Schizosaccharomyces pombe: one gene and its partners. The protein of the gene in region 2 binds, or shares a complex with, the protein of the main gene of each other region. Each region holds a gene or a part of one and is shown on either strand. Other genes may lie near its edges. The genes, in order: psf1, psf3, sld5 and psf2.

Evidence for each region.
Region 1: psf3 (region 2) and psf1 share a complex: the UniProt entries of both Schizosaccharomyces pombe proteins name them as parts of the GINS complex.
Region 3: psf3 (region 2) and sld5 share a complex: the UniProt entries of both Schizosaccharomyces pombe proteins name them as parts of the GINS complex.
Region 4: psf3 (region 2) and psf2 share a complex: the UniProt entries of both Schizosaccharomyces pombe proteins name them as parts of the GINS complex.

Annotation. Positions count from the first base shown.
Region 1 is NC_003423.3:2,011,232-2,016,796, reverse strand, and holds psf1 (GINS complex subunit Psf1), read right to left. Parts: upstream 1,436-5,565; 5' UTR 1,298-1,435; coding exon 689-1,297; 3' UTR 501-688; downstream 1-500. Other genes in the region: serine/threonine protein kinase Ppk32, read right to left, coding at 1-227, 378-402; alp5 (Ino80, NuA4 and Swr1 complex actin-like protein Arp4), read right to left, coding at 2,434-3,735; DNA-directed RNA polymerase I complex subunit Rpa2, read right to left, coding at 5,154-5,565. UniProt on the Schizosaccharomyces pombe protein: The GINS complex plays an essential role in the initiation of DNA replication.
Region 2 is NC_003424.3:525,923-531,683, forward strand, and holds psf3 (GINS complex subunit Psf3), read right to left. Parts: upstream 2,955-5,761; 5' UTR 2,850-2,954; coding exon 2,751-2,849; intron 2,704-2,750; coding exon 2,645-2,703; intron 2,620-2,644; exon of another isoform or gene 2,539-2,619; coding exon 2,404-2,538; exon of another isoform or gene 2,348-2,403; coding exon 2,202-2,347; exon of another isoform or gene 2,143-2,201; coding exon 2,081-2,142; 3' UTR 1,860-2,080; downstream 1-1,859. Other genes in the region: SPOM_SPAC227.17C (uncharacterized protein), read right to left, coding at 3,879-4,244; saccharopine dehydrogenase Lys3, read left to right, coding at 4,600-5,706. UniProt on the Schizosaccharomyces pombe protein: The GINS complex plays an essential role in the initiation of DNA replication.
Region 3 is NC_003423.3:2,910,447-2,915,995, forward strand, and holds sld5 (GINS complex subunit Sld5), read right to left. Parts: upstream 3,850-5,549; 5' UTR 3,775-3,849; coding exon 3,130-3,774; 3' UTR 3,026-3,129; downstream 1-3,025. Other genes in the region: SPOM_SPBP4H10.19C (calreticulin/calnexin-like protein), read right to left, coding at 1-866, 945-1,019; nhm1 (m7G(5')pppN diphosphatase), read left to right, coding at 1,782-2,093, 2,136-2,341, 2,483-2,670, 2,717-2,925; pop4 (Rnase P/MRP subunit), read right to left, coding at 4,424-4,572, 4,645-5,149. UniProt on the Schizosaccharomyces pombe protein: The GINS complex plays an essential role in the initiation of DNA replication. Has a role in chromosome segregation and is required for bir1 localization.
Region 4 is NC_003423.3:1,226,844-1,232,789, reverse strand, and holds psf2 (GINS complex subunit Psf2), read left to right. Parts: upstream 1-3,602; 5' UTR 3,603-3,762; coding exon 3,763-4,314; 3' UTR 4,315-4,482; coding exon of another isoform or gene 4,483-4,624; 3' UTR 4,625-4,642; downstream 4,643-5,946. Other genes in the region: orotate phosphoribosyltransferase Ura5, read right to left, coding at 1,064-1,711; acetylglutamate synthase Arg6, read right to left, coding at 1,997-3,499; nbl1 (borealin N terminal domain-containing protein), read right to left, coding at 4,483-4,624, 4,696-4,864, 4,914-5,028; CCAAT-binding factor complex subunit Php2, read left to right, coding at 5,876-5,946. UniProt on the Schizosaccharomyces pombe protein: The GINS complex plays an essential role in the initiation of DNA replication. Has a role in chromosome segregation and is required for bir1 localization.

The DNA of each region.
Region 1 (5,565 bases), on a different chromosome or scaffold from region 2:
AGAAGACACATCTTTTCTTAAAAGCTCTAAGACATAGTTTGTTTTCAAATTGGAGTCAATAGACCCGCGTTTTAGTAAGGTGGACAAATTCTTTTTATCAAATGTAAACACTGAAACCTCTTCGTTGGTTCCCTTTTTGGATGCCGAATAAACAGTCCAAGGACCTACTTGGACTGAATTTTCTTTCTGGATATCATAATCATATTTAATTTTTTTGGAATTTGATACTAAACATTCAACGTTAGAATACTTACTTGGGATACGAAATGTATCTAAATAGATTATAGAAATGACGATGAGGATGATCAATTACATAAACATAACTACAATCTTTCATACAGCGCTGATAATCGAGTTTATCAAGGAATATAGCATACCTAGTCGAAGTGCATTGGCTAACATAAGCTGAAAAAGTGGATGGCTTTGGAAAAAAACAACTTAAAACAACAAAAACAAAAAGAAAAAATTATAATTATTTTTGAATCCCTTCGAAGCAAACCAAGTATAAAAATTGAACACCTTTTTTTCGCGGTAGTATACAGTGGAGATGGTAGGAATGAATGGCTTATGGATGAAATTTTTAGGGTCAGTTCAAAAAGCAGTGAAACTCTTATTTGGGAAACAGAGGATTAAATAAAAAGACAATTAATTAAAGATTATAAGAAAGTCGTATTTTTTAGTTTGATAATCATAACTTAGCCAAAAAACCTTGGGCAATGAGTCGTTCAACGTCTGTAGCACGCACATGCAATTGTGAATTTTTAGTAAGGTTAATAGTACCATATTCAGTTTCAATATCTCCAACGTCCTTCAAAACTCGGACGTCTATGAACAAATTTTTAGGAGGAACCAAAGAACCAGTCAAATCCAGCTCGGACCAAGCGCCTTTATAAGCAGCCAAAAGTTCTGAATATCTCGTTAAATAGTCACGCTCATAAGTACTTAGAGATGTATCTAAACAAGATTCCATTCGTTTGCCTCCGCTCCAACAGTATTGACGAAGCCGCTGCAGCCTTAAATTATGGTAAGCCATTAAACATCGCTTATTGTAGATACTAGAAGAATGAAACATCAATAGAGCTGCCGCTTCAGAAGGATGGTCCTGGGGCTGGAAAGGTTGACTAGCCTCATGTGTAACATTTTGAAGAATTCCTAGACTTTCGCGATCTGCTGCACGAATTTCGTTGACAACATCATTAACGGTGTCCGCTTGGTAAGGTGGGAGATAATCTAAATACTGAGTTCGCTTTGAGTCCCGAATTAATTTATTTGATCGATTCCCCAAACCATTCTCCATAGTGATTAGAAGCACTAACTATCACGATATGCTTAAACAGATTTTCCTAATTATGTTTAGTTTAAAAGAAACGGATTAGTATAATTAACAACGACACTCGATAGTTGTTTAAAGCTATATTGAATGGTTGTGGATGACAAGTCGTTGGAAAATGACATGTCTTTCATAAGACCATAATGATGCATTCCTTAGTAGAAATTTTACTGTAAATAAAACATGGATCTTTTATAACAAAATTATTAGTTGAACCTACTATGCGAATTTTTAAGAATTTATTATTTAAACATTCACACAGATTTAAAATGAAGCGTATACTTACTTGGATTACCTCAGTTTCATAAAGTAATGTATACTAATTCAAAGGATTGAATGAGCCCTAAAGGTATCATTAAACCGAGTTCCTCACATCGTCACACATGGAATGAAGAGATGATTTAACGAAGCTTCAAATTATCAACTTACAAATCATTGCTACTAAAATTATAGAAACCAGATAAAGTTTCATTTCAAAATAAAAGAAAGGATATCATTCAATGATTACAATTCTCACGTAATATTCAGAACACAGTACGATGTGCTTGCTTCATCGGACAGGGCTTTAAGGGAATAAAACAATCACATTGATGAGAAATTAGAATCTAAAGGGGTACAATTTAAAACCTATCACTCATATCCAAAAAATGGCAAGGCATATTTAGCTTCAAATAATTGAGCTTTAATGTAGCTTAAAATGATTTTGTCAGTAAGACTTTCTTTTCTGCTTACAACATAAAATCCAATCGATGTATTGGCCGTACTCAAAAAAATCCGCTTTATGTATAATCTGCGGAAGATTACACAAATTCAATAGCATGAATATCACAAAGAGCCAACGAACCAGTCCAGAGTAACAATCTGTTACAAAAACAAAACTTTTGATGCTTATTGATGATAGCAAAATACATGATCCAATATTTTCTCTTCAAATGATAGGTATAAGGACAGGGAAAGAGTCTCATACGTAAAGTAATAATATCTCAATTATTTTTTATTTCAAACGAAAGTTTCCCCTTTTTTTCCACTTAAGGAAAATTCCCTAAAATCCAACGACTTTTAATTAAAGGTTCATTAGAGATTAGTAATTATCATTACACGTATTATTTACATCGTTTTTCGATTAAAGCCAAACGATCAGAACCATGTTCTTCATATTCTTGACGTGATATCCATAATTGATGAAACGTTCCAAGACTACTTAAAATAGATCCACCTAACCATGAAGCATAACTGCGTTCAACAACATGACCGGAAGCATGGATTTTAAGACGGCTGCCAGGATATAATTTTGAAAGTTCATTTTGCAGACGAAGAGAGAATCCTTGCATCAAACTAGTGCCTCCACAAACAATAACATTGTTGAGCAAAGAAGCACGGATATCAACATCGCATTCCGAAATACAGTTCTGGAACAACTGAGGTATCCCCAAAATGCGAGAAGAAGTGTTGGTAACCGAAGAATCTTGTTGTGATACCTCATTATTTTCGGTTTGTTCTATTGGCTTCGAAGGTTCCTCGTTCATTTCTTCATCACTTCCTGGCACAAACAAATGTTCAGGAATTTGATAGCGTTCCGCGCCAAACATCATACGGGAACCGTCTGGAAATTCGAACTCTGATTCAGCAATCGTGGTTTCAGATGAAAATGGAACATCGGAAATGAGAGCACATTCTTCTTTCCATTCATCGTAGACTCGCTGGACCTGAAATTGATGATAAGAATCTGTAGTATCACGAGGACGTAACTCACAATTAGCTGGCTGCCCTATCTCCACTGGATTTTTGCTTTTCACTAAGTACTTAGGCATCACTTCGAAATTCTTATCCCTGAGAGTTTGCGCCAAAATATCGTTAATTGCATTCCCAGAAAAATGTTGAACCTGATAGCCTTTTTGAAGCACAAAACCATCATATATAGCAGACACCGAGCTACGCTCCGCACCAATGTCTACTAAACAAGCAGTACCTTTCCCGCTTGCAAACGCCGCACACGTCTCCTGCTTGGCGAGGTATGTTGCAGGACAACGCAAAGATTCAAACATCGTTTCTAGTGTTTTCACTCGATTTTCTGGGGGATTATCAAATGGTTCCGTAATCAAGATTGGATGCTCTAAAGGATTAGTCTTCAACTGCTGCTCTAATCCATAACGCCAGAGATCTACAGTAACATCCCAATTTTCAACCCAACCATTACGAATTGCATTTTTTATTTCCATTCCAGGGTTTGATTTATATATGTATTCCTCACCGAACAACCGTCTGCCATCACTGAACTCTCCACAGTAGCTAGGGAGTACGCATTTGGGAATATCTTCTCCAGAAAAACCTATTCGAGTCCATTTGCTTCCAGGATCAATTACAATAGCTGAAACTTCATCTCCGCCATAAAATGCGCTAGTCATCTTACCAGCAGTACAGTTTGTCTACGTGATAAGATTCTCAGGCAAAAGTTGTCGTTGGCACTTGGACAAGACGCATCGTTGAGATCATGAAATAGGTCGCCAACGGCTTTTCTTAAAAATACCCATCACTCTTTCCTATTTTATTTAGTTGGTTTAATTAATTAAAAATAAGACTTTCATTTAGAAAAGTGTGCATTCTTTAAGCATTCATGCAACGAGAATGTCGCTAATTTTCAAGCTTTTAATAGACGCGTCAAGTAAACTAGGTTTTCAAAAATAAGCATTCATATGAAAGATTGGGCTCATAGCACAAAAAAAAACAATTGTACAAGAAATCCACAATAGTTGAAAAGATAATTATTATGCTCCTAATAAACAAATTCATTTAGTGATTTTTTGAGTTTTTTGCTATAGTCAGCTACGCAGTTTGGTATATATTTAACGATACATAGAATTACGGTGAGTTTCTCTTACGACTTACAATATAGCGGTATGCAGTATGTTAACTAACAATGTATATTTATTGTTATATGAAGTCTATTAATATCGGTTGCCGAAATAGCGTTACAGCCGAACCTCGTTCCTCAGTTCAGTTATGAGCTATATTAGTGATAGGTAACATTATAACCCAGTTAATACAATACCTATACTCAGTTGCTACTCATACAACCTGTGTATTGTAATATAATAGATCACAAGGAAAACTCACCGCAGTTCTACGTATCCTTAAATCAGATACCAAACTGCGTAGCTTACACACTATACTAAATATCGGTTATCTAATATAGTATAATGAAGCACAAAATACAATTTAGCGTGGGTTTCTGTAATTCGTCATTATGCTGCTCTTAAATGTGAACCATGCGAATAGGTATTTTTTATAATTGAGTGCATAGATTTTCTGTAGTTGAGCTGTTCTTAAAATTATAAGATATCAATTCTCTTTTCTCCATACGAATGTGTGCTCACGAATTTGCATCAGATCTCAACCTCTGATTAATCTGCTTCTTTGAACATTCGATCACTCTTTGGTATCAAGTATCTATTAACCAATATATAATACAATTTAAAGCAAAAAGACATCTAATAATAAACTTTTTCTTGTCAATTATGTCTTAGCCGCTTCTTAATCAAAAAGATAAAAATCAATCAATTTATTATTAGTCCACCTAGACCTACCTTTATAGTTTTCTATATAAGTTTTTTTATTAACTCTTCCCCCAAAACAATAAGTAATTTTATATGCAAAACGTAATCCGAAGCAAAAATCAGAAACCTGTTGCGAAAGAAAACAGAATCAAATGGAACTGAAAATACACACATCACCCATGGCATTTTGTCAGTCCTTTTAAAAAAATTTTTTTTAAAGAAGTTGAAAGCGAATATATTAATTTCAATACTCTTTTCAACACTTTAATCTATTTAACTTCAAGCATCATTTTAATATTCATAGCAGTAAGTTCCGCCGTCAAGTAATTGAAAACACTGGGTAATGCGATCAACGTAGTATTTGTGCCGCCGACAAATTTCTTTCCGCTACCATCCTGCCAAATGTCACTGGTATCTTCCAATCCCAAAGCGGGTTTGGCACAGCTTCTGCACCTGACTTCTGAGGCACTTCCTACGCCATTCATCGAAATTGTAGACATGATAGAAATAATAGACCCACAATCTCGACAAACCCAGCTCTGGGCATAATCAGAACAATTCATTAAACGATCCTGCATCAAGAACGATGTGCCATGACCGATAACAGCATCACGTTCCATTTCACCGAAACGAATACCACCAGCACGTTTGCGACCTTTGACGGGTTGACGAGTAAGATTA
Region 2 (5,761 bases):
AAGTGATGTGACATCTGATTTATGGTAACAGCCAAGCGTTAACAGACCATTGTTTTTTTTCCAAAATTTTTTGACTTTGCTTTCTTTTGAAAATTTTTCTTTCAAATGTAAATTAATACTTGTATGCAGTTGAGTTTATCTTGGTTTTCTAAATAGCGCATTGAATGTTGTATTACTTCCGCCGGTGATCCTTAATTTACTTAATCAAGTCTTTACTATAACATACCCACTAATTCCAAAGTTAAATGAAAATCTACATCTTTACACATTGTTCTTACGGGCCTTTATTTACAAAAGTGTTTTATATTTCGCAGTAAGACCTTACTTTTTGATGGTGCGAAATCGTCTATCCGCTCTCATTTCTTTTTAGCATTCATATGAATTCTATTAAAACAATCTTTATATTCGCTTTTCGTTGCAAGCGTTCATATTGGTGTACACCTTCATAAAATTCATCCTTTTAATAAAATCTGATTTTCTGTCACGAGCATTTAATTTACTTTTCCAGAAACTGTCTGTATAGTTCGTGATTTTAGTAGTAAATACTAAGCATGCTAGATTAAAATACATTTTTTTATATTATCAAAAAGGATTAAATGATAATGTATTGTACTGTATTACCTTATGCCAGTATACGGCGTTGTTAGTTGGGACTACTTTTTTGCTAAACAAAATTTCTATATAAGCTGTGACTCTCTTGCATCTAAACCAAATTTTTACCAACTACAAAGCTTAGATTAAAATCCTAACTTGAGTATCTTTAATAAATGGTATGTGTCTATAACCACAGATGGAATCTCCTGATCTTTGATGACCATTTTTTAAAATACAAACTAGAGTTTCTGATTAATTTATGATTTCAAATTCTTGCTGAGTTTAGTTGTTTCCTTCTGTATTTTGGTTATTTCAACACTTATGCTAACATAATTTAGTTATGATACAGTTTAAACTTTGCAATAAATTTCTTTCTTAAAAGTCAAATGTAAGTGTTTGAAAGAATTGTTTATGTTGTGTTGGAAAAGATGAAAAAAACTTTTTTTTGGAATTACCGGCCTAGGAATAGTTTACTCCTATTCCGCTGAAGAATAAATGTGCTGCAATTATGCTGATCCATTACAATATCACAACTTTTTTTATGGGATTTTCCTATTATTAACATCATTAGTTAACTGAAGCAGTCTAGCATATTGATATTATAGTATTTAAATCATTTAATCATGGATTTAATACATACCTTTTAGTTTGTATGTGATATGAGAAAAATTGTTCTCAATGAGGAATAATTAGATGACGAGTCTGATTCAATATGAAGAAAAGACTCTTAAAATTCCATTCATGCTAACTGAGAGAACAAATTTTTAACCTAAATCTATGCCAATATTTTACTAACATAATTATAGGTTATTCATGAAAGGTATCCAAAACTTAATTGAAAACTAGACTTCAAATATGTACTTTAGGGTATTATTAGGATGATTTATTAAATTTCAAAGACAAGCATATGTCTGATGCCATTGGTTTTGAAGAAGTGAAATGCGTCTGATTATAGACAACCTAAAGTTATATATTTCCATGTCCTAAGTTTTCGTGTTAAAACAACTTTTCTAACGTATTTGCAAGACCTTAAACTAGTTAGATACACTGAAGTTAAGGAGGCTGTTTTGTATAGGTAAGTAGATCAGCTTGAGGTCGAATTTTAGTTCACATGATGTTTTTACTTTAATCACGACGGTCTACGTAGTTTCTACATTGACGAAGATTGCCTGTGACAAGGCGCTTTTTCTGAATGTACTTTATATATCGACCTCTAATTTTTAGTGTCGGTTCGTTTATTAACATTTTTTAGTTCTATAGTTTGAATCTTCTAGAGTTTTTATAAAGTTAATCATAAATGAAAATGTCAATCTGACAAACAAAAGCTAATTTTGTAAGTAAACGTAATATTGAACAAGTATATGTTAAGGATTCTTTTCTTTTTTCTTTGAACAGAAGGGATTTACGATCAACACTCATTTAGTGTTTCACATATAGATTAGCGTGCTATTCTGGGTAGCAATTTCGTCTCGCAGCATGCAATCAACTACGAAGTGGAATTTTGCCAGTTTATTAGGGATCGATGGGCATTATGTGATACTCTCAATACTGTGGCAGCACGAGCTTTTGTTAGCTACTGAATCTTTTAAAGGCTAGAATGAACATACTGTGTTTCTCAAAGTCATCCAAACCCTCAATGAATTGTGAGTTTTGTTGTAAAGCACCTTGAGGATTCAGGGACGCATCTGCAATCAGCATTGCTCTGGAACGTAAAGTGTTTAGGGAAATTTGAACCAAGCTGTCGTCTGATATTCTACAATGAGTTAGTAAGATTTTGAATTTGAGAAAAACGTGTAAAGTTTGACTTACAAATGGAGCATTTTCTCGGCAAAATGGTAATAATGTGTGGTTATGTCCCGAATAGATACACTATTAGGATTCGCCTTTAATGCATTTCGTACTACAGAAGAAAATGGTGCTGGCATATGAATACTAACAAAAGAACTATAAAGTAAGCAAATAAGCAAAATTATCCAATTTTCTATAAGACATTACATGTATATAATGTAACATGCAGAAAAAACCAAAAAAAAAAAAAAACTTTACTTACTTAATTGCTAAAACCTCTGCCAGCCAAAAAGGAAGTTCAACTTTAGAGCCCGTAGGAACCTAAACTGTTTAGAAAGTCAAGTTCTATTTTTATAAACTTCACTAACCATACGCCCTTCATGGCCTAGTCCTGGAATGGAAACTGTACTAGTACATGGAACCTTTTGATTTTCAGACAAGATACTATCAATATCATAGTAATCCATTTTTTTAATGTCTGAGCAGAAGGAATGATAGAAGTGTTATTGTTATTTTATCAAAATATGTTCATTTAGAAAAGTTGCAGTTACAAGGTAAAAGTAGGTAGATGCAACGATAAATTCAAATTTGAGTTGGCTAAGATATAGTGGATAAATAATGAACTGTAATTACACCAGTACTAATCAACAAAAAAAATAGAGATAAAAAAGATTTATTTTTACTTTTCTTAACAGAGCATCTAGTTCAAAAAATTAGTGCTGATAAATATTGTATGTTCGAGTACTAAAAATTTGCTTCAATGTTTAACTCGAAAAGTATGTCATACATGTGTATATTCGTCCTTCTGAAATTGGTCGAAAAATTTTATTAAAAAAAGGAAACTTTGTTCTATAGTTTCATTAAAGAAACGCATATGCTTGTTTGAATGTTATACCTATTTATGAAACTTGCTCATTATGCGATCAAAATTTACACAATCTTTCCGTAAAACTGATTTTTTTAAATGATTTTTAGTCCGTAATCTACAAAACATGATTGCATTGTATTCAAAATTATTTTGCGTATTAATTATTTAGTATGTCATTTCCAAATGCAAAAAGGTTTTAACACCGACATAGGCCAAATTTCATAAGTTATTCGCCAAGTTTCATCAACAGGTTCATCAAGTCATATACGCTTTAATCCATACTTTAGATGTCAACACCTTCGAGTTTATCAGCAATCTTTACCTGAGTAAATAATCAACCTGCTGCCAAACAATGTTGTAAAATCAAAGCAACAATTTGTTGTTCGTTTAATTAGTTACTCATAAAATTAAAGAGAACTCAGAGTTTACTTGGAAGGTAAATTAAATAGAAGTACCCCGCCAACTATAAACAATTAGTTTCAAAGGTTAAGCAGACTAGGATATACAGGAACTTTACATCCAAGACATCATCAAATATGCTATTCCCCCAATGTTATACGCAACAAATGGATGCCTTCGTAAGAATTGATATCGACGTTTGGTGAACACAGCACGAAACGTTAAAAACTTATTCACTACTTTTTGGAGAAGTACGCATCTTCCAAATGTCTTCACTATTCGGCCCTTGCCTAAACTTCATCCACTGCTGAAGACGCCGCTTACGAAGCCCTTCTTGAGCCTCTTCGTGAGCCTTCGACTTGGTTGACAGACACCATTTAAAGTCTTTAAAATTTCCCTTACATCTGTTGTATTCACCATAACGATAGTAATGATTCATTTGTGAGAACACTGTTAAACACATGGCCATTTGGTCAAAGTAATACTGTAAACTACACGGATCCTCAGGAATCCCTTTTTTCAAGTCGAGTATTTTATCTAGTTCCGCATACTGACCAAAAGTGCTTTTTTCATCATTTTCTTTAAAATTATTCATTATTTAAAAGCATACTAGTAAAAATCAAGTGAATTGTGCCTAGGATAGGTAGCTAACGTGACTGCCACTGAACCTGTGTAGCGTATTAGATCCATCAAGATCCCTTCTGCTCATATCATTGCTGATCTGTAAATTGACCGCATCAAATTTGATCTCATTTATATCGAGATTGATCTATATTATTTTGCCAATTTGCAGTATATAAACTTATTTGATTAAGTTTTTGGTCTCCTTCGCCACGTCTTCATTTTGTTAGTTTAAATTTTTTTGACTAACTTAGAAAGGGAAGTTTTTAAAAACGTTGAAATACTTTTTCGATTTAAAAATATATATTTAATTAATTTTCTGTTCCAAAATGGTTGCTCCTCATCTTTGGTTACGTGCTGAAACCAAACCTTTAGAAGAGCGCAGTGCTTTGACTCCTAGAACTGCCAAGATACTCGCCGATGCTGGATTTCAAATTACCATTGAGCGCTCTTCCCAACGTGCTTTCAAGGACAAAGAATTTGAGCGCCTTGGTTTCCCCATGGTTCCTGAGGGCTCATGGCGACATGCACCTAAGGACGCGTACATTATTGGTCTCAAAGAGCTTCCGGAAAATGATAACAGTCCTTTGAAGCATACTCATATTCAATTTGCTCATTGCTACAAAAACCAGGAAGGTTGGCGTGAAGTCTTGTCCCGATTCCCCGCTGGCAATGGTCTTCTATATGATTTGGAATTTTTGCAAGATGACAATGGCAGACGTGTTGCCGCTTTTGGTTACCACGCTGGTTTTGCTGGATCAGCTATCTCATGTTTAGTTTGGGCACATCAATTATTGCATCCTAACAAACAATTCCCTGCTATCCGTCCGTTCCCCAACGAAAAATCTTTGGTTCGCCATGTTGCTCGTCAAGTACGTTTAGCTTTGAAAAAGAATAACAACCAGTATCCTCGTATTCTGGTTATTGGGGCTCTTGGTCGTTGTGGTACTGGAGCGTGCGATTTAGCATCAAAGATTGGTATTCCCTTCGATAACATTCTTCGCTGGGACATTAATGAAACTAAGAAGGGTGGTCCCTTTACCGAAATTACGGAATCAGACATATTTGTTAACTGCATTTATCTGAGCATGCCTATTCCCAAATTCTGTACCGTCGAGTCGTTAAATGTACCTAACCGTAAATTGCGTGTTGTTTGTGATGTTAGCTGTGACACTACCAATCCTAACAATCCTATTCCAATTTATAATGTAAACACTACATTTGATCATCCTACAGTTGAGGTTAAAGGTGTCACAACTCCTCCTCCTTTAGAGGTCATTTCTATTGATCATCTTCCTACTTTATTGCCAAGGGAATCTTCCGAAGCATTTAGTGAAGCTCTAATTCCTAGTCTTTTGGCTTTGAAGGACGTCGACAATGCTCCCGTTTGGGTCAGAGCTAAAAAACTTTATGAAACCATGGTTCAAAAGCTTTAAAATAAATGTTATTTAATTTCAAAGTTCCGGGTCCTTTATATTGTTTCACCAAATT
Region 3 (5,549 bases), on a different chromosome or scaffold from region 2:
ATTAATATCCCAAATGGTTGGATACTAGGTTGATTGGGACAAGGGCTGTTTTCAAGTATTTTTTTTGCGATAAAAGTTTCGTTCTCAAATTTCATAGCATCCGATAAAGAAAATCCGAAGTATATATTGTTTATAAACACGCCAGCGTTCTCGTTCCAAACATCCAATTCTACGCCATTAACACTAAATGGATATGACGACGTGTTGGTGTTATTTGATAGAAGAAAGGACATGATGTTTCTACTTGTATAGTATCCATTCGAAACGTTACTATGAGTGATCCATTTTGTTGGCGAGTGGAAAAAATTCGTCCCTACATCTCCTGTATAAACAACAGATTGATCTCTTCGTATAACTACGGTTGTATTCTGCAACAAAAGAGTATACATACTGGTTCTTCCTTCAACCAATCCAGAAGGCGGTGCATCATACAGATGACAGGAAACTTTACCATCATAGCTAATTATAGACAATGAAATGTAGTCAAACATGCCGCACTTTTTCACGCCAAATCTGATCACCGACGGAGGCTCTTTTGAAACATTCTTTGGGTTTGATTGGTGTACCAAACTAACATAAGCGTGTCCACAGGTCCACGGCTTAGTTGGCTTAACTTGAAATGATAATACAATTGGTACTGATGACGATTGTCGAGTAGTAGGATTTTCTAGGTTACTTATAAGAATATGAGGTTTATTACTTTTCAAAGTAATTAAACCATATTCATCTCTTAAGTGGGAGCCTGGTGCTTCAACCAAGTCCCAAACCCCCAAATCTTTGTTCACTGGAGCACGCCATCGAGAGCGCCAGGTTGTGATGTCTTCAGAAGTAAATTGTTCAGAGAATACGGAAGGAATTGTACAAGGCTAATACATAAGTTAGTAACCAAATAATGCAAAAATCCCAGTTATCAACAATTATTTGATGGCAACAAAACCACCTACTTTGTATGTCTTCACATTGAGATCGTGGGCAAAAATCAAGTTTATAAAAAAAAAGTAGAAAAGAAGGGTTTGCATATTCGTAACTTTTAACCTTAACCCTCCTTCCCCAAAAGGCGAATTTAACAGGAAAAGATGATTCTTAAAAAAAGGAAAAAAAACCTTTAAACTTTACTAAAAAAAATATAACACCTGTAAATAATAAACGTAAACGAGAAAATAAACAATTAGGTATAGACAAATGCTAATTGTGAATAAGGGTTCGGTTTCAATTCGGGTTGGTCAATGTCTAAAAGGTTGTACGAGTTGTGTCTTACTAGAATAAATAGCAACCGCGTACGAAAAGATGTTTATATAGCTTTATAAGTATTGAAAATAACTACTTTATAGATTTAATGTTTGTGTTATATATTAATTATTTCACAATTTTAAATTCTCAATATACATTTTGAAGTAACTCTAGGCATGTGATATTACCGGTTTGTTTTGTAATTTTTTAGGTCACTACGATATTAAGATTCTATGTAGCGGTGTCTGACAGAAAAAAAAATTTTGATTTTAAGACTTAGAGTAAATTATTTGATAGTTATAATTTGTATTTGTTTTAGGTACTATATAAGAAGGCGTGTTTCCCTTTAACCTTACGAATACTATTTAGTTTTTTGTTGTAAGTGAAATATTATGTAGTAGAATCAACCTATTAAAGCCTTGCAACAAGCTCTTTAGTCTCAGCATCTCAAAAGCTGTTGTACCTCTCAATCTTTTTGGATTTTTTTACTTCTATCGGTAAGACATAACGGACGTTTAAATATTTTATACCCAAGAAGAGACAAATTTAAAATGGAAGAAAGTTCTGCCGCGAAAATACAACTGCTTAAAGAATTTAAATTCGAAAAAATTTTAAAAGATGATACCAAAAGCAAAATAATAACCTTGTACGGAAAAATCAGAAACGAAGTAGCATTACTTTTGCTCGAAAAAACAGCTTTCGATTTGAACACGATAAAGCTTGACCAACTGGCAACATTTCTACAAGATACTAAACTCGTAGAAAACAATGATGTTTTTCATTGGTTTCTAAGCACTAATTTTCAAGATTGTTCTACATTGCCCTCTGTGAAGTCCACACTAATTTGGCCGGCTTCTGAGACTGTAAGAAAATACCAATTTTTCCTCTCTATTAACCGTATGTAGCATGTACGAAAATATTCTTCTCAAAAAAAGAGAATGGTGTGTGAAACGCCGGAAATGTATCTAAAAGTCACTAAGCCGTTTATTGAAACTCAAAGAGGTCCTCAAATTCAATGGGTTGAAAACATCCTTACTCATAAAGCTGAGGCCGAGCGTATTGTCGTTGAGGATCCGGATCCCCTGAATGGATTTATTGTCATTCCTGATCTGTAAGAATAACTCAAAATGGTTTATTAGTTGCATCCTTTAAATGCATGCCAATTGTATCTATCAGCAATAGTCATCCCTGGTACTTGGGTGCATGTTTTACCATATATAAGTTCTTTTGTAAGTTTACTAACAAAAATTAGAAAGTGGGATCGCCAAACTATGTCTGCTCTGAATTTAATGGCTATTGTTCACGCAACGGATATTGCAAGTATTCGTGATTTGAAATATAAGCATATTCCTCTTTTAGAAAACATTCGAAATAAAGTCTTGACAGAAGTCCCAAAACAATTTTCCGTAGATAAAAATCAGTTAAAGATGTTTGTCCATTGTATGTTATAATTTAAAAGCAAAATAGTTTACTGACATTCCTCTAGATTTACCTTCCTACTACCACTTACATGTACATATATTGCATGTTGACCATGAAACTGGAGACGGCTCTGCTGTAGGACGAGCAATTCTTTTAGACGATGTTATTGATCGCCTTCGCAATTCCCCGGATGGTTTAGAAAATGTAAATATTACATTCAACATTGGCGAACAACATTTTCTATTCCAACCGTTAACTAATATGAATGCCTGATTGAAAATATGGTTGCCAAACTGTTGAAACTGATCACATCAGTTAGATAAATCATTTATACCTTTTTGAAGCTTATAAAATAGAGATAATGATATTGTATTGTTGATCAAATTATACATTTACATGCGAAAATTCAACTTTAAATAACAATCCAGTACAACCTACAGCCTGTGAAATATTGTAGTAATTAATTAATAGCCGGGATTATATTAGTGAGACAACACCAAGTCGAAGGTAATCAGAAATAACAGAGTACCGAAGAATCAAAACATCTCCCTTGTCGAGAGTTATATACTCATTTTCTGAAACTCGAAAGTTTTCTTCGACTGACTCGTTGACCACACAAAACACGGCAGTATCCATATCAGGTGATGCTACCATTGATAAATTTCCGACCTTATCATCAAGTTTATTCATTTTTGCAGGAACTTCTCGTAAAAATGAATCCATGTAATGACGATGTACTATTTGCTGGTGCCTTAAAAGATATTGACGTTCTGGAGATGACAAATACAACAATAAATTAGGATGTGATTGAATGTATTGAGCATATTTGTCAATTTTATTGATTCGAGTTCGCATATACGAGCGTAAAACAAACTTCACTCGCTCAAGTTCGGTTTGCATTAGTACGCTCCTATAACTAGTTGCACTACTTGTTCCAATGGCCAATTGTAGAGTTTCTCGTTGTGCTTCAATTCTATCAAGAACTCTGCTTACAATTTCTTCAGCAAAAGGCAACAAATCCGGAGCCATTCGCTCATTCACCCATTGAGTACATAAATCCTCATAATCATTCTCCACTTCTGTTGTCGGTTCTATTAGCAAATCATCAGCATCCCACTCCATCCATAAAAAATATACAAGGATGCTCAAATCACGAAGGCAAATGAGACCTTGTTGTAAAGCTACAAGCTTTTACTCAAGATATGTTAGTAGTTTACATAGCACTTAAATCAGTCCAATTGCAGAGGTAACAAGTTACTTACGTCCCTTTTCAAACAAAAATCCCAAAAGCATATCTTGCTCTTAAACGACTTTGACATAATCTTCGTTTTATCCTATGCATTCCATTCACTTGTCTTAGTTATCGTACACTTCAGTAACATCTTATATTATTGCCCGTGAATCAAAAAATCGAAGGCTATAATCTTATAGCGAAGAATTGCATAAAGGCGCGATTTATCACTTATACTTTAGAAATTCAGTAAACGAAAATTAGTATTAAAATGTTGGATCAATAAATACAATGGAAAAAGATCTGTGCTCTGAAAGTATTTTAGAGACTGGCGTCGTTTAAGCTCTACAATATACAGCAAACATACAATATTGCCAAGTATGAACAAGTTATTGTCTACACTGCGTGCTCTGTAAGCAATATTAAGTATTTGTACGAAATTGCCAATATATATACACTAATAAAAAGAAACCACTCTAGTATTCCATTTCAATCAATCGCAAGTACGATTCTCTAAGAGAATCACGTAATTAACAACTTTCAGAGATCTATTGTATTTTTCGATTTAAAACGCTTATTCGATCTATCACCTGCTCTCAATAGTAAATGTTGAGTATACAATTCAAAAACAAGTTTCCTTTGGGGAACATCAACGATAACTTTCATAACAGAATCTTGTTTGGGAACACCTAGACGAATTAGTAAAAAGTTACTCAGCAAAGATATTTTTCAAAATACAATGTTTTGAAAATGGTACTTACGAACAACCCTGTTTTCTTTAGTAATTAAAGAGAGCATATGTTTACTTTCGTGGATACAAATACCTTCAAGTCCGACTCGCGTAGTACTTTTACTCCGAAGAACTTGCATATATGCACCTTGATATTCTGCTTTTGCTAATTTGGCCATTAAAGATTCACCTGTGCATCCTGCTATCACTTCTAATATGTAAGAGCACCACATGGAATGTAAATGTTTGAATTGGCTATAGTCAGCAATCTTTGGAACAACATTTAATTGCAGCTTTTTTTTCTCCTTTGAAGACAACTTTTTCCTTTTCTTTGAAGCAACCGACTCTTTTCGATCTCCTTGTTTTTCTAAGTTTAGAGAAGGGACAAGTAAAAGCGGTTTGAAAGCAATTTTTTCGTTTATAACATTTTTTGCCTCTTCAGGTGTTAGGATTTTTGTTTGAAATACCAGGGATTCGGGTGTCACTTTAGAAGTTGAATTGACAGTTTTCAACGAAGAGTATAGTGGATCAGCCATTCAGTACAAATGGATTGTCTTTTGAACGTAAAGGTAATAATAATTAAAGGAATAGCAAGTTATATCTGTTGTATTATTTTACGAAAATTGCTCCATTTGGCAAGTCTAGATATTTGGTGGTAAAGGTAATATGTGAGACTTTTTTTATACTTTTGTACAGCAAGATACTACTTCCAAAGTAATAATACAATTTGGCCCCCGTTTGAGAACTTTTACCCCACTAGAGACTAAAGATATATACCATCAAGGTCATATACACTTTGCAAAATTACAAAACATCGTTAGACTGCGATAAGCATTTTCTGTACTCAGTACATTCTCTTAAGTAGATGATATGAATAAACAAGTGTAGATTAGTCACAAAAACAAGTTTATTTAATAGACAGTTGAAAGATAAAAC
Region 4 (5,946 bases), on a different chromosome or scaffold from region 2:
TTAGTCCGGATTTTTTCAACAGCGAGATCTCAGAAAAATCGAAAAACACTGCTTCTTACTCACCAAAAAAATCCCTAAAATCACAGTAAAGTGCTTCAGGAAATGCGGATCCTTTTTTTGATAAAAAGGAAATTTGCTTGCTTTTTTAAGATCTCACACAAACAGAACTAAATCTTTCACCCTCTCTTATGGTGAGTTAGTGGTAAACGATAAATACTTGAAGGTTACATATTAGTAACTCAATTATTGTACCATTCGATTCCACTATGTTAAACCAATTGTATTACATAAATGATAAAGAATTTCATTGTTCAACTCGAGTTTTTCTAATAAACCATTTTTATTTATAGACTGCAGTGACTACTTATTCAAATTCACATTGAATATGAGAATAAAAACATTCCAAAATTTCTTAACATTTTCTTGTCATAATAAAAAGTTAATCACCAGGCTTCTGTTTAAAGGTTTTACCATTATTTAATATTTGGTATTTCAAACACAGAGCATAAATACCCGTCGCAGAATTGAAAAATAAAATCCTAAATTTTTTATAATTGCCCATTATATGCGTCTTTCGAACGTAAATAATCATCACTAAAAACCAAATCCTACAAATTTTTACAAAAATAATACACAAATACCATTTTGTGAAACATTAATTATCCCTCAACTCAATATTTTGGTAGCTTCATTCCTAACTGTCATCTTGGAAAGATTCGAATAACACAAAAGAAGAAACAAACACAAAAAAAACAGATTCACGGAACTAATCAAAAGATAGATGGATATGTGCAAAACAAAAGCTTAACAAGTAAACCAATTTCCTTCGTCTATTATAGAGAAATTTTTGAATACCGCTAAATGCAATCGCTTTATAGAAAATTCCTTCTAATATGAGTTGTATCTATCACCACAAATATACAGATAAAAAAATTCTATAACATATGTAAATACCAACTAACTTCACTCTCTTTAAAAAAGCAAAGCTAAAAACCAAAAAAGATACTTATCCAATTATTCTCTTTCCTCCTTCCAAATTTTTAAAAGAAACATTACCATAAGCTCATTTGGCTTGGTACTGCTGTCTGTAAGCATCCATTGCCTTTGATTCAGCTGCAGTTAAGTCTGATTTGGTAAAGTCAACAATGTCGTCCAAAGTAAGGATGGAGGAAACGGGTAAGTTAAGCTCCTTCTTCAATCTACCAATGGTACTTTCGTTTACTTCGGGGTCCAGTCGCTCTTGGCGGTCAAGCAAAAGGACGATACCAGCCAATTTTACGTGCTTAGGTTCTAAGAAGGAAATTGCTTCACGAATGGCAGTTCCAGCGGTAATAACATCATCCAAAAGTAAAACCTTTTTACCTTCCATTTCGGCGCCTACAAGGTTACCTCCTTCACCATGGGACTTGGCCTCTTTGCGGTTATAGGCAAATCCATAGCTCTTTCCAGTTTTTTCATAAAGTTTGACGGCCGTTATAGCAGCCAAAGAGATACCCTTATAAGCAGGACCAAATATGACATCAAAATCAACGTTCATAGCGATAATAGTCTCGGCATAGGCTTCTGCAAGAGCGCATAAATCGGCACCATGAGTGAAATTACCAGAATTGAAGAAGTATGGAGATTTTCTGCCTGATTTTAAGGTGAAAGTTCCAAACTTCAAAACATTATGTTCTAAGGCACGACGCAACAACTCAAGTTTATAAGACATGTTTACTACTAGTTTTGTTGATAAACGTTGATACTCACAAAAGAAAAAAGCTAGTATCACCTTTTCTAAGCTCTACATGGGGGTTATGTGGGGGAATAAACAAAAATCATAACTAAAGAAAAATGCAAGTTTGTAGGCAAACTACTCAATCTATAATCTAATGTGCAAAAGAGAATTAATGTCCTATCAAAATGGACTTTTTTCCTTTTATTAAAAAGTTTGACAAGTGCTTTTGAAGAAGCGAAATAATCTTGTCTCTGATAAAGTGCAATCGTTAACTTCCACTCAATTCAACCATGTTGGCTGAATTTTATCAATAACGCTCATATACTGGTTCACTCGATCCAAATTTCTGACATGTGAGTCTCCAGTCCAGAAAAGTTTCCAAGGTGTTTTGCTTGACTTTAAGGAGCCTACACTTCTTTCAAAGTACCATTTATTGACTGGATTAGTCAGGCGAGAGCGCCATATCAACTCTTTGGGAAATAAATCAGTCATAACATTAAACATAACATCAGATATTGCTGCTGAACCCTGGGCTCCTTGTGAGACGGCAAGCTTATCAAGATAAGGGACCTTTTCATTCGTTGTTCCATCTGGTTGTTCATAAGTTACAATGGCTGTCCCTAAATAGTCCCCTGCAATAATGACTGCAGCTAGCGAATTCTTCAACCTATCTAAATATGCGTCCATATCAAGCGTTCGCTTAAAGGAGTCATTAATTAAAACCCAAAGCCTTTCCCACGAAACGGAGCCATCAGTTAGACATTTCGGACCTAGGAATGTATATACCGGTACACCGCTACGCAAAACAGTTGTTTTCGTAATAGGAGATCGATCGCGCGGCAAGGAACATGAAATAATAGAGCGATCCGTCAAAACATTGTGAATTAACGGATTTTTGTCTAAGACAGGATTTGTAAGCATAGCATCCTCAGGCGTAGTGATTAGAGCAGAGGCATCATCCGGTAACATTTTCAAACAGCGTCTTACCAAAATCAAATTTTTTCTATGATAAGGTGGAAGTGTTTTCGCTAACTCGTCAAACTCTTGAGCCAGATTGATGAGAACATGACTAGAACCAGTTTGTCGTTTAGAACATGGCATGCCACCATTTTTATCAAGAATGACGATTCGGTCTACCCAAAACCCAAAGTTTGGCTTGTGTAACGAGTAAGTTAAACCAGCAAGAACCTCATTACCATCAATTGGAACCTCAATGACGTTGGGCATTAAAATCGAGCTTGGCACTATGACCGTGTAAAGTGAAGACAGCGCTTGAAAAATACCTTGCACATTCTCAACACTAGGGCCTTCAGGGCCCAATTGACATACAGAGGAGTAGCTAGGACGGGTTAACACTCCCGCTTTCGAAAAAATTTCCGAAACTCGAATGACTCTATTTTGCTGTTGCTGTAGCTCCTCAAAGATTGAAAGTTTACGTTTTTTCGCTACGACCGTACCATTCTCCAAATATTTAAAAGGAGATGTCATGCCAATTGGATTGGAAGTGGGAACAATCACTGATTGAATCCCTAAACGTGCCAGGCTATTTATACTTCGACCAATTCCATATAGGGTATTATCACTTAAAGAATCCACATCATCAATTTTGGTAATAGAAATTCTGTTTAAAAACGAACTCGATATTGGCTGAGCGAAGGATTTCTTGTTGGGAGAGCCATCCTTAAGCGAAGAATGTTTTTGCAAAAACCCTTTCGTAGACCTACGAGATTGGACTGATTTCAATATCCAAATAAGGTCTTGTGACAATGAAGGTTTTTGCATTCAAAATTATTACCTTAAAACGAGAAATATAAAAATTTGACAATCATATACCGATGACCTAAGAGCAAGATGTGATTTAGATGAGGGTGACTATTATGAGTCCGAAACCCACCACACAAAAAATTATGCTGTAAGGAATAACAACCAATAAATGCTATAAACGAACTCCAAAATAGAAAAACAAAACTTTAAATAAAAAAAGACATTAAGCCCAAAAACGGTACTATTGATAGGCATTTTTGTACTGTTCGTTGGTGATAGAGATGGCCTTACCAAGGGAACTTGAAATTTCATTCTCACCAGAGGAAATGGAATTTTTAGCTGGCAATGAGTATATTAACATTGTTCCTTCAGAAACAATGGATCAATTGCCGCTAGTTAGCGCGACGATTCCCATTATGAAGCCTCCCAAAAAATGTCGGGTTCCTTTATGGTTGGCTCTTGAGCTAAAAAAGCAAAATTTGGCAAGGATTGTACCTCCGGAATGGATGGAAATAGGCAAACTTGAAAACATACGAGATGATGAATTGGAAAACGAGACATTCTCAGAGTTGCCTTTTCGGTGGCTAGAAACGGCGCATTTATTGTTAAACTTCTGTGCTGATGATATCGAGGATGTTGAGGATATCAGGAGGATTTTGCTGGACATTCGAGAAGCTAGACAAAGTAAAGCAAGAACGGGATTGGAAGCCATTAATGAAGTTCAACTAACTTTGGATAATTTGGGTGCAATGGAAATTAACGAAATACGTCCTATATTTCGAGAGGTGATGGACAGAATGCGCAAAATTGTTCAAGTTTCCCAAGAAGAATGAGTTACTCATCAAAAGTAAAGTGGGAAATAAATGGACTTCACATGAGAATATTTCGGTATCGTGTGGATGATGTACTTTAAAAATAATGATAATGAATCCTACGAAGTGTTTATGAATACCAACTTTGTAGTAGTGAAATTTTATCACAGTAAGCAGTAGATGAGGGTTTCACACTTGCGACTTTGAACTCGATTTGGAAACGGTGGTGCTTTTTGATGAAGAAGAAGAGGAGGATGCCACCGTTTTTGTAGGTTGTCTAGCGGACTTTTGGGAGGAAAGCTCGTCTAGATTATAAAATTCTTTTATTTTTCTGAAATAGTAATTAGCAATTAGTGTTTCCAGTAGTACGTATGGCAAAGTAAAATTTGATATTACACTTACGTTCTCCACGGTGTGGCAGACACATTGCAGGAAAGATGGTTCTTTAGATCGCGCAGATGCATATTTCGTTGAGCGCGAGGAATAGCGGCGATACGCATTTCTCCTCGCATACGAATTGTTGAAGCAAGTAAACTAGCGTTTGAGCGCAAACGTCGTACTTTATCGGAAACTGAAAAATACCCGTTAACACTTTACTACTTCCAGGTACAAAAACTTACGTTCAAATGCTAAATTTTCAAGTATATCGTTCTTGTGTTCTTGGAGAATTCGCTGTCGTACTTGACGATGTTTCGTCTCTCCAAGCTCTTCCACTCTTTTACGCTTGTTCATCATTAAGCATTATAAATTATCAAAAAACAAAACAGATGTTTGCTAACAGCTGATCAAAAGACGGTACTTCTGGGTGCGCTGAAAAGGTGGTGGGAATAAGAGTTGTTGTATAAACAATAAATCTTCAACTAATATGTAAGTAACATCGTTACCTAATACTCAATATGTAAACAAACGTTAGAAAGGAGAGGATTGCACAAAAAAGCGTACCCAAAAGATATTTTATAAATTGAAAGAAGAATAATGACCTAGAATTAGAAAAAAGCAGCAAGTTTACAAAATAAAAGCGTTGAAACACATCACTTTAAAAGGTACATAAGAATTGATGATGCTTACTTCTAAGTAAATTATTAATAATATCAAATAAAAAAATATTGTACGAGGTAAAAGTCTCCCTCTTCAACTACATCGCATACAACATTGAAAACTGTTTAAAAAAGATATTTGGTATAACGTGTTCCAGTGCCATACGCTACAATGCAACCTCTGTTGTATTATATTTCGACTGTTAGCTTTTTTTTAACCCAATTCATAAGAAAATAGTTATGCCATTCAGTTAGTGACATTATCATATGTGTACATAAGATTATATATTCGTTTGTGACAAAATGCACTGCAAGCCGTCCTCACTATTTGCAATCCTGGAAAGATCGACAATAATCGTTATACACATTTACCGATATGTAAAGAATAGCTGCTTACCATTGGTAGTCGCTAGCGCCTGCGGAGTTACAAACCACCTAAACCAACCAACCGACCAACGAGACGAATATACCGTAACGAGCAGAATTTTGATTCCTGAGATCCTCCCAATAGTTAGAGCAATTGAAATAAGAATAGTCATTTTCCAATGAATCCATATGAGCCGGTCGAGGGGCTTTACGTGAATGCAAAGCAATACCATCGAATTTTGAAACGTAG